Linked DNA regions of Callithrix jacchus. The protein of the gene in region 1 purifies or fractionates together with the protein of each later gene. This does not show direct contact. Links are inferred from orthologs where the notes say so. Each region holds a gene or a part of one and is shown on either strand. Other genes may lie near its edges. The genes, in order: UBQLN2, PSMD2 and HERPUD1.

The links.
Region 2: the proteins of UBQLN2 (region 1) and PSMD2 purify together in Homo sapiens (affinity purification with mass spectrometry, with the first as the bait; 3 studies listed by BioGRID). This does not show direct contact. The link is inferred for Callithrix jacchus from reciprocal best matches to the Homo sapiens genes UBQLN2 and PSMD2.
Region 3: the proteins of UBQLN2 (region 1) and HERPUD1 purify together in Homo sapiens (affinity purification with mass spectrometry; 3 studies listed by BioGRID, with this or other methods). This does not show direct contact. The link is inferred for Callithrix jacchus from reciprocal best matches to the Homo sapiens genes UBQLN2 and HERPUD1.

What each region holds. Positions count from the first base shown.
Region 1 is NC_133524.1:56,702,362-56,706,107, reverse strand, and holds the start of UBQLN2 (ubiquilin-2), read right to left. Parts: upstream 2,819-3,746; 5' UTR 2,534-2,818; coding exon 659-2,533; 3' UTR 1-658. UniProt on the Homo sapiens protein: Plays an important role in the regulation of different protein degradation mechanisms and pathways including ubiquitin-proteasome system (UPS), autophagy and the endoplasmic reticulum-associated protein degradation (ERAD) pathway.
Region 2 is NC_133516.1:13,275,198-13,278,943, forward strand, and holds the start of PSMD2 (26S proteasome non-ATPase regulatory subunit 2), read left to right. Parts: upstream 1-1,098; 5' UTR 1,099-1,111; coding exon 1,112-1,246; intron 1,247-1,661; coding exon 1,662-1,718; intron 1,719-2,090; coding exon 2,091-2,255; intron 2,256-3,503; coding exon 3,504-3,625; intron 3,626-3,746. UniProt on the Homo sapiens protein: Component of the 26S proteasome, a multiprotein complex involved in the ATP-dependent degradation of ubiquitinated proteins.
Region 3 is NC_133521.1:14,807,396-14,811,141, forward strand, and holds the start of HERPUD1 (homocysteine-responsive endoplasmic reticulum-resident ubiquitin-like domain member 1 protein), read left to right. Parts: upstream 1-893; coding exon 894-1,040; intron 1,041-3,746. Other genes in the region: uncharacterized protein LOC118149719, read right to left, coding at 25-895. UniProt on the Homo sapiens protein: Component of the endoplasmic reticulum quality control (ERQC) system also called ER-associated degradation (ERAD) involved in ubiquitin-dependent degradation of misfolded endoplasmic reticulum proteins.

The DNA.
Region 1 (3,746 bases):
TTTAGATGTACAGTTCCAATTGTGCCTACTGTACTGTGTACAAATATAGCAAAAAAGATCAATGAATGGTATAAATCTTACAGCATTTTGCTAGCAAAAATACATGCCAAAGTCACAATAAGCAATATCGTACCACAAATTAGAGAGCTTCAAATAATTTGCTTCTGATTTTAATATCTTCATTCTACATTAAATTACTATCATAGGCTAATGTTTAAAAATGCAAATAAATTGGACATCTGTAGGACAACACTTGTTCACCCAACTGTGAAGGTTGATACCTGTTTCCAAAAATCACAATAAATGCAGAATAAAGAAAGTGTTTGCATGCAACACTTTTGAGTGAAACAGCATTGATTCCCACCATTCAAAACAGATAAGAAAGGAAACTAAAGGAAAGAAGGAAGGAAGGAAACAAAGAGGGAGGGAGGGGGACACAAGAGGAAGGGAAGGAAGGAAAAATAATCAAAGGAGAAAGGGAGTGAGGGAAGTAGGAGGGAGGGACTCCATCTTAAAATGCATCATATTAGACTTATAACTAGACAGATTTAAAAGAATCAAAATGAAAGTAAAGAACGATTTTGTGTGTGTGTGTTTAAAGATTTAAGAGCCATTATCAAAAATAAGATACATTTTTTTTCCAGGTACAGAAATGTAATTAAGATGGCTGGGAGCCCAGCAGCCTTTCAATGGCTGCATTGATGTCGCCTCCTGTTGCTATTAGGGCCTGCAAGTTTGCTTCACGGTTTAAGAACCCCATTGCGTTGAGCTGTTCCAGTTGTTGCTGAAATCTGACTTCTGGATTCGGCAGCTGTGGAGCACTGGCTCCAGCCAGAGCCTGCACCATTTGCTGAATGAACTGCTGGTTGGGTCCAGATTCTGATGTAGGACTCGTGGTTTCACTGGGTGCAGCGCTGGACACAGTAGGACCGGTGGGACCACCAGAGCCGGTGGAGCCAGGGGGGCCTGCAGGGCCAGTGGGTCCTATGGGCCCAATTGGGCCTATGGGGGTAAAAGGGACTATAGGGCCTATGGGGCCTATGGGGGTGACTGGGCCTACAGGGCCTATGGCGGTTCCCAGCACCCCCACCCCCACACCTGGAGTGAAGCTTGGAATGAGGCCAGGTGCTTCAGTGGCTAATGTCTGTAGCCCCTGCTGGATCTGCATTAAAGCCTGCATTGCTCTAGGGTTTGACATGGCAGATAGTGTATCTGGATTCTGCATCTGCTGCAGGAAGGCTGGGAGCTGTGGACGCATCTGCTCCTGCAGCTGAGGATTTGCAGTAAACAGCGGGCTATTCAGCATCATCTGTGCAGCCAAATCTGGATTCTGGCTCAGCGACTGCATCATGCTTCTCATGTAGGGCGCCGACAGCATATTCTGAATCAGCTGGGGGTTTTCAGTTATCTGTTGCAGCAGGCTCTGCATGCCTGGGGTACTAAAGATACTGGCGACATAATTAGCTGCAGCAACGGTGTTCCCAGTAGCATTGCTGGAACTATTGCCAGACCCACTACCAGTGCTCGTGGTCGTGCTGGTAGTTGCAGAACTCTGGGTAGCTGGCGGTGGTGCCCATGGATTGGGTAGTGGATCACGATTTTCTGTGCGGGAAGGCTGCGTACCTTCTCCAGAGGAGGAACTACTCCCCACAGAGGCAAACGGATTACCCCCAAACTGCTCTTGTGCAGCATTCAGCATCGGCTCTTGAATGTCAGTGTACATGCGCCGTAAAGCATTATAGCCACCTGGGATGCTTTCGAGATTGCTAAGAGCCAGGTCTTGATTTCTCATCATCTCTTGCATCATGGCTGGATTCCTGGCAATTTCGAGTGTCTGCCTCATTATATCTGGGTTGTTGAGCAGGTGACTGATTTCTGGGTTTCTCTGAATCAATTGCTGCATCTGTGGATTAGCCATAATGAGCTGCCTCATCAGATCGGGATTCGAAAGCATGCTCTGAACAAAGGGATTTTCCATGATTTGGATCATCATCTCAGGGCTGGCCATGAGTTGCTGCTGCATCTGGCTCTGGAGCTCAGAGAAGTTGGTCGAGCTCAAGCCCAGGCTGCTAAGGCCTGCCAGTCCTCCCAGGCTCCCCAACCCAAACGGGTTGCTATTTGTGGAAATAGGTGTGGAGTTACTCCTGGGAGTCGACGCCGAGGTAGTGTTAGTTCCCGCGGCATTGCTAGGCTGCGTGGTCTGGCCCTGAGGTCGGTTCTGACTCTTGATGACAAGGTGAACAGTCAGCCCATCATGGATGCCGTGCTGGATCAAGGTATCTTGATCTTTTAAGATTTTTCCGGCAAAAATCAGCACTAGCTGATCGGTTTGGGATTTGAAGCGTTTCGAAATCGCTTCCTTAAACTGCTGGACCGAGCTATTCTCGGGCACCGCGAACTCCTCTTTCTCTTTGGGAGTCTTCACAGTGACTTTGATGATTTTAGGCTCCGCCGGGGCAGCAGCCGAGCCTTGGGCCGCAGCAGGGCCGCGGGAGGGGCGTGGGGGGCCGCTGCTCTCGCCATTCTCAGCCATGGCGGCCGCGGTGACGCAGGCGGGCAGGAAAGGCGCGGGCCGGCGAAAGAGAGAGAGCGAGGGAAGGAGGAAGGAAGGAGGCGCCGCCGTAGCGGGCTGGGCCGGGTCGGGCGGGGAGCGCGGAGCACGGTACCTCTGTGATGAAGACTGTGGTTCCGTGGTCCTCCGGAGAAAGGACTGGGCGTAGGCCGCGGGCTGAGGTTCCGCGCTCCAGTCTCTAGGCCTCCTCCGCCGCCGCCTTGTGATCCGACCGCGCGCACTCCCAGCAACTCCGGCAGCCGCTCCGCCTGCTGCTCCCCGCCCCTTCCCCTCCCCCAGTTCCGCGCTCGCCTCCCCGCCCTCTCTGCTGACGCGGCGCCAGGCCTAGATTGATAGATTTGGCTCGGTCAAAATTAAAAACTTCTGCACTGAAAAGAAAAAAAAAAGGGAGAGAGAGAAACAAAGGGAGAGAGAGAACAGAACAGAACAGTACAGAGCAGGCGAGGCAGAGAGGGTGGGACGGAGAGAAGGCGGCGGTAGAGAGTCAGCTTCTGTAAACGACATTAAAAGACCGATGGAGAATAAACATTAGAAATCTGTAAGGCAGTAAAAGGGTGAAAGCCTGATTCGAACCGATCCCACGTAAAAGACGAAAAATGAATAATAAAGAACTCTGACAAAGCAAAAAGAAAGGAGGAACAACCCCCAATGGGGGAAGGGAAGAAGACAGCAGGAGCATGCATTTTACAAAAGGAGTGCAAATGGTCAATAGACATTAAAAAAGGACGATTAATCTCACTAGTAATCAAAAAAAAATTCAAGTTAAAACAATAAAATTCTACTTTTGGGTTATATTGGCAGGGGAAAAAAATAATGGTAAACCTTCCTGTTGACAGGGACCCCTAAAAAATGCACTCTCAGGCTAGCTGAAGTGTGAATTGTTACAATCACAGGGCAATTTGAAAATATATATCAGCATTTCGAATGTTTCCACCTTTATTTAGAAATGCCTAACCTAGACACTCACCTAAGAAAATAATCAGATAAGGATGCAAAAATATTTATGTATAGAATGTATATACGTTGTAGCATTTTAAAACGTTATTTAAATATTTAAAATATCGGTTTACATGAGATTAGTCGAGCACATTATGATATTATCACACAAGAAAATACACAGTGTCTTTAAAGGTAAATATGAAATAAACTATAGTTATAGGGAAATCACAGAGTA
Region 2 (3,746 bases), on another chromosome or scaffold:
CAAAAGGTTGTAATAAGTACATGGAATCACTTTAAAGCAGTACTGATATAAAGCGCATCAGTCACACCCCTTCTAAGGCTTCACAGGGAAAGACGAGAAGATATAGAGTAGGAAGACCTTGTCTTGTTCTGCTTTTAGCTCCAGAATTTGGCGCGAAGCACAGGACTTTATTGACCGACTTCTACTCCATTTGGCTCCCCAAAGGATTTAAAATGGTAGCCACGGGAATAGCAGAGTACTCTCATTCAACTGGGAAGGAATATCAAATGAGGTTAATAGGCCGGGCGCGATGGCTCACGCCTGTAATTCCAGCACTTTGGGAGGCCAAAGCAGGCGGGTCACTTGAGGTCAGGAGTTTGAGACCAGCCTAGCCAACATAGTGAAACCCCGTTTCTACTAAAAATACAAAAATCAGCGGGGTGTGGTGGTGGGCACCTGTAATCCCAGCTACTCGGAAGGCTGAGGCAGGAGAATCGCTTGAACCCGGTAGGCGGAGGTTGCAGTGAGCTGAGATCGCGCCACTGCACTCCAGCCTGGGTGACACTGCGAGACTCCGTCTCAAAAACACCACCACCAAATGAAGTTAATATTCCACAGTGGTGTGGGCTAGACAGTTAACACAGAGGTTAAACAGGCGGCTATCAAGCGTCCAGGATTTCAAGAAATCCAGTGTGTCTGTCGCGCCACGCAGCCAACTGGAGTGTCACTGTGGGTTCTATTTACACCGTTATGAGAAAAACCTACCACCGAAAAATCTCGGTGTCTGGGATCGCAGACCGCCCTTCTACAGCAGCCAGCGCACCCAAACCCCACAGGGCGAAGTCCCGCGGCTTTCAGGAAACTCCGGGGAGGAGGGGGTCGGGTGGCGCCTACGGCGCGGGGGACGCTGGGAGTGTCAGTCTTCGCCGGCCTCCGGGGGCCGGGTCCGAGGCCCGGGCTCTCAGGCCGCGGGGGTGGGTGGGTCGCCGCGCGCCGGGGCTCGCCCCGGCGTTTCCGGTCGCAGGCTGGCTCTGGAGGAGGAGGGGCGCCGTGGCGGAGGCGCGCGAGGCTGTCTGGGAAAAAGGGAGGTGTGAACTGGTGCGCGCGCAGCGAGGCGGCAGTAGCGGCGGAGATGGAAGAAGGAGGTCGGGACAAGGCGCCGGTGCAGCCCCAGCAGTCCCCGGCGGCGGCCCCCGGCGGCGCGGACGAGAAGCCGAGCGGCAAGGAGCGGCGGGATGCCGGGGACAAGGACAAAGAGCAGGAGCTGGTGAGGCGCGGCCCGGAGAGCCGGCGGAGGAGGCCGCGGGGCTGAGTCACGGCGGCTCCGCAGGCCTTAGCCCCGACTCCCAACGGCCCCACCGCACCAGGGAGAGGGCTGCTGGGGCGACCCCCGGGACTCCCGGCACCCTGACTCTCTGCTCCTCATTCCTCCATTCCGCGCTGTCACCTCTGCCGTCCCCACCAACTCTCACCACCGCCGCGTGAGGTGGGCTCGGGCGGGTCATTGTCACCTCGGTTTCCTAGACTGGCATTCAGGTAGAGCCTGGTTCAGAACCCAGGCTGATTTCCCACCAGGCTCCCCATTCCTACTCTGTTTCCTTGTCCACCTGGCCCGGGTAAGTGGGAGGAGGACGTCTTTGGGATTCCTTCTCTACTTGAGCTTGTTTCTCCCAATCCTCCAGTCCGAGGAGGATAAACAGCTTCAAGATGAACTGGAGATGCTCGTGGAACGACTGGGGGTGAGTCACGAGGTTAACATGATTCCGTGCACGTTTGGATCTTTCCCACCTGTTTTATTCCGTTTTGAGGCAACTCCTGTGTGCGGTGGGCTGTATTTTAGGATCAGTGTTATGATGATGTTGGGAGGCAGGAGAATTGCAAAGGGTATTTGTACAGTTTTGTAGCTTTCTTTGTGGGAGAAGCAGAGTTCCTAACTTTTAACTTGGGTCATTTGTTTCTGTGCCAGGCAGGGTGCAGGGAGTTAAGGAATCACAGGTGAATGAATAAGACACAGCTATTTCCTTGGGGGAGTTGTTAAATTAAATATCTCTGTGTTATGACTTGGAGGGGTGTGACTCCTTTTTGTCTGAGCCCTATCATCTTTTGATCAGGAGAAGGACACATCCCTGTATCGACCAGCGCTGGAGGAATTGCGAAGGCAGATTCGTTCTTCTACGACTTCCATGACTTCAGTGCCCAAGCCTCTCAAATTTCTGCGCCCACACTATGGCAAACTAAAGGAAATCTATGAGAACATGGCCCCTGGGGAGAATAAGGTAAAACTGTTTCAAACCTGGTGGAGGCCTCGTTTAGGAATTCTTTTTACTCAGACCATGGGGCTCGTTGTGAGTCACAGGAAGCCTGATAGACCTAAGGCCTGATCTCTTTGAGCGAGTTCATCATAGTCAAAATGTCCACAAAAGAGCTGAGAGGAGGATCAGCTTCTCAGAAGATACTGTTTCTGTCATTTGTGTTGGACTTTAGGGTTTCATTAGCATGGGTTATTTTTAACTCATGTTTAACCTTGATTTTTCTCTTTCCTTCTCTCCCATGTACATTCATGTCTAAAATATGCTCCACATTCAGTCACTTCTCTGCCTGCTGGTGCAACCCTAATCCTGGAGATGTTCGGTTTTTGCATGGGCTGTTGCAGCACCTCTTAACTGGCGTTCTTGCTGTTGTCCTTTTCTCCTATACAGTCTGTCTTTCACCTAGCACCTATCCTGATCTTTGTTGGTTGTGGGTCTTTTCTGTGTAAAACCTTTTAATAGCTTATAATTGTAATTAAACTAAAATTAAGAGCTTTCATTTTTCTCCACATTATCCCTTGTTTATCACCCTTCAGCTGTGTTAATTTAAAAGGGAGGTAGTGGCGGGGCACGATGGCTCACACCTGTAACCCCAACACTTTGGGGGGCTGAGGTGGGCAGATCACCTGAGGTCAGGAGTTAAAGACCAGCCTGGCCAACATGGTGAAATCCCGTCGCTACTAAGTATACAAAAAAAAAAAAAAAAATTAGCCAGACTTGGTGGCGGGCAACTATAATCCCAGCTATACACAGGAGGCTGATGCAGGATAATCACTTGAACTGTCAGGCAGCGGTTCCATTGAGCCAAGAGCACACCATTGCACTCCAGCCTGGGTGACAAGAGCGAAACTCTGTCTCAAAAAAAAAATGGAGGTGGGGAGGGATAGCCTGGGGAGAAATGCCAAATGTGGGTGAAGGGGAGAAGAAAAGCAAAGCACACTGCCATGTGTGTACCTACGCAACTGTCTTGCATGCTCTGCTCATGTACCCCAAAACCTATAATCCAATAAAAAATTAAAAAAAAAAAAAAAAAAAAAAAAAAATGGAGATAGCAACACCAACCTTGGTTTTTGTGAGGTTTGGCTTAGATGGCCTGTTAAATTTTTTGTACTATCTACATAGCTAATTTGGGAGACAATGATCTTGATTCCATGATGCATGCTCCCCTAATGCTGGACTGCTGGGTTTGACTTCAAAGGAATGTTTTCTTTATAGCGTTTTGCTGCTGACATCATCTCTGTTTTGGCCATGACCGTGAGTGGGGAACGTGAGTGCCTCAAGTATCGGCTAGTGGGCTCCCAGGAGGAATTGGCATCATGGGGTCATGAGTATGTCAGGTAAGATCTTTTCTTCTTGGGAATCTGAAGGGGGCTCTGAGTCTCTAGGATAATTTAGAATCCAGAGTACTGTCTATCTTGGAGTATCTGTGTATTGAATTTCCCAGACAATGCATTTCTT
Region 3 (3,746 bases), on another chromosome or scaffold:
TTAAAGGGTGCATGTGTATCTTACAAAGTGATGCCCTTTTGGCAGGGACTCCCAGTGTGAGCAGGGCTGTGGCTGACTTGTCAATCATCATATAGGTTATGTCCCAAACGTGCAAGTCAGAAGCCCACGGAAATTGGCAACAGCTGCCTGGATGCCTCCATCCTCCCAGCCCAAGGAAGATCAGGCCTCCCTCCTTCGTTGTCCTTCCTATGAGCACGTGACGTTCTCCTGGGTGGACTTGCACAACGGGTTGCCCAGCTGTTCTTTGAGGGTCAGGTGGAGAGTCTTCCCCTATAGGACGGGCTTCCCCGGGAGGTTTCCATGTGGGGCCACCTGAGGCAGGAAAAGGAGAAGTGGACACTGGCACCTGGGGTGAAAAAGGGCGGGGGTGCAGCTTTGTGAGGAAACAATTTGAGGAGACTGCTAAACTGGGGTCTGCTGGGATACACCGCTCCCACCCCCTGCCTCGGGCGCCCTCAGTCACCCGAGCTGGGGGCCCCTCAAGTCTCAGGCCAAGCCCTCGCGCGCTTAGCGCGGGCCGCAGCGCACCCAAACATGGCCGCCAAACCCAGGTTCCCGGGGCGCAGCCGAGCCTGAGGGTGACGCAGCGGCGGCGGGTTGCATCAGCCCGCGCCCACGTGCTTGGTCCGCCCTCTGCCTCCCGGATCCGGACGCCGATTGGGCCACGTTGGGACAGTGTCTCCGCCTCAGCCAATGGGCAGCAGCCACAGAGGGTTCTGTCCGCAGAGCCGAGCGCGGGGAGCCCATAAAAGGCTCCCGAGAGTGGGGCGCGTGCCCCAGGGACGCCAACAGTCGTTGCGGAGTTTGCGGGCGGGTGCGACACCGCCTCTTGGCACCTCGGAGCGCAGCTGAGCCCCGACACAGCCGCCGCCATGGAGTCCGAGCCCGATCCCGAGCCCGTCACGCTCCTGGTGAAGAGCCCCAACCAGCGCCACCGCGACTTGGAGCTGAGCGGCGATCGCAGCTGGAGCGTTGGCCACCTCAAGGCCCATCTGAGCCGCGTCTACCCTGAGCGTCCGGTGAGAGCCGCCCCGACTTCCCGCCCCGAGGCTGTGGCCCCCAGTGCCGCCGCGTCCGCCTGCCCTGCCCTGTGGCCTCCCCCTCCGCCGGCCTTCCCTAGACGGCTGCGTTCGCCGGGTCGGTCACGTGCCCCAGGGCTGTGGTCTCCCCTTCCCTGCCCCGCCGCCGCGGGCGCCCCTCTCTTGCCCAGGGACCGTCACTAATCAGCAGCCTGACCTTAGGCGAGTCGTTTCACCCTCCAAGCCTGCTTCCCCCCAGCGGTCAGGCAACTCGGTGGTTCCTAACTGGGCTTGCACCCAACGGCTAGGAGTAAGAAAACATCCGTGCTGCAAAATGAGGGTTGTGAACGCAACCTCCCCGCGGGAGAGAAGCGGGCAGGTGCCACCCGGAGCGGTGGCTTGAGAAACCTGGGGAGCACCCAGACCCTGTGGACGGAAGGGCCCACACCCAGAAGCAGGACGTGGCTCTTCTCCCTGTCTACCTTCCGCCGGGCCCCTCCCTGTCGCACTGGACCGCGCAGCCGTTGCCGAGTCCCGGGGAGGAGCCCCGTGCACTTTCTGGCCAAGTGCGACTGAGAAGGGAAGCAGGCAGTAGTCGCCTTCAGTCTGGTTTTAGGACGGCAGCCTCTCCATTATTAGCGAGACTTCTTTGCTTTGTTTTGGTTGACGCATCTGTCAACATCACCCTTAGCACCGCCTGCCCTGGCCGCCACGTGATGAGGCTGTAAGCTGGCCCTTCCTGTATTTACTTTCTGCTCCGATATTATGTAAGTGTCAGCAGTGTTCTTCACTGCCCACGAGCATAATTCTCTATCACACAGGAGAGGGCATCCAGGCAGGAAAAGATCGTGTAACCCGAGTTCCAACTTTTGGTTGGAACTCACCTGTGTCTGTTTTTGTTCCATGTGGTCAAGAAGGTAGAAGTGAGTTTTCCTTCTGAGTTGTTGTTTTGAAATTTGCATATTGATTTAGTACGCGTGTATTCCATGTCCTGTGGAATTCACCCTGGTACACTTTTCGGTTTCACCAGAGCTGCGTCCAGAAACTGGGTGGCTGTGTTGCCATGAGAATGTCTGTTGGGTACACAAATTGGTGAAGCAGGTGTTGCCTATGGTTGCATCATATGGTAAAAGGCAGGGTTTCGGAGAAGGGTTTTTCTTAAGGGCTTGCTTTGGTGACGGACGCCAGTCCCATCTCTTCAGTCTAAAGACCTAAGATTGTAAATAAATATCTCTCAGGTATACAAATTTGTGTCTAAAAATTATTATGGCTGAAACATATTTATCACTTGTTTTCTGTGGTAGAAAATGGTATACTGTGAGAAGCCCTACTTTGTAATAGTTGTGCTTAATTTTTTCTCAAATCAGCCATTTGAGTGAAGACTCAATGTCAAGTTAGGCCTTTAAAAAGGGTGGAAATAATTCAAAATCACTGGCAGCTGTGGTTTTCAAGCCTTTTCTAGTGGTTGAACTCTAATAAACACAGAGCCATACATATCTAATAGATACTGTTTTACAAATTCATATATAAGCATGTACCTTTAACATTCTCACCTGTCAGTGAGAAAAACGGTGAACCCAGCATTCAGTATATTTTGGTTTAGTTACAGTGTCAAAAAGTCCTGATGTATATGGATAAGTAGATGGACTTTTGGCTTTGTTTGTTTTAAACAGCTTGCTTTAATTATCTCAAGCTGTTGGCAGGAACACCTTTATTCCAGGTTTTGCATAATCAGTTATGCTGGCAAGAGTAGGTATACACGTTGCTGATCTCCAATGGACAGACAGATTATATGTTAATATTTGAGGCCATTATTTTTAAGTACAGTTTAGAGGGAGTTTCAAAGAGATTTTTAAAATGAGATTTGTATAAAAGAATGTGCAGTCCCTATGGCATTAAAATCGCTGATATGGAGGAGAAGAGGGTTTGGAATTGTGACACTGGCAGCAGATGACCTTGGAAAAGTAAATTTTTCAGACTTTCCTCCCTTAAAATAGGGATACTGAATCTCACAGGGTTGTTGTATATAATGTCACCCACACACCATTTCCTCTATAACTGCATTTGTATGCCAAGAAATCCTCTATAAAGGCTTAAGTTTAGAATAGCTTCATATTATTCTGGGGCACTGCTAGGTGATTTTGGTGAAGGCTGGCCTTGGGAGTACTCTGAGTTTTTCCTGAAACCAAACTCAGTTGCTGTAGGAGCCCTGTTCGCTGTTTGTTGTTGTTATGAAAATCAGTTTACATGGGAGTTAAGAAGTATGTTGCCCTACATAGGTTTGGACTGGAGATAATTTACCTGTTTTTTTTTTTTTTTTTTTTTTGATATAGGGTCTCTCTCTGTACAATTCCCCTGTCTCAGCCTCCCGAGTAGCTTGGATTACAGGTGCAAGCCACCATGCCCAGCTAATTTTTACATTTTTAGTAGAGGCAGGGTTTCACCATGTTGGCCACTCTGGTCTCGAACTCCTGACCTAAGGTGATCTGCCCACCTTGGCCTCCCAAAGTGCTTGGAGTATAGGCATGAGCCACTGTACCCAGCCGATAATTTGCCATTCTGTATTTATTTGCATGTTAGAGACCGGTTAAAGTTAGGTACTTTCTAAATAGAAGTTTTGTATATGGAGCCTTTGAAAAAGTGTTTTCCCGTGATGCTGGGGTGAAACATACATATTCAAATTATTTGTATAAAACAGTTTATTTT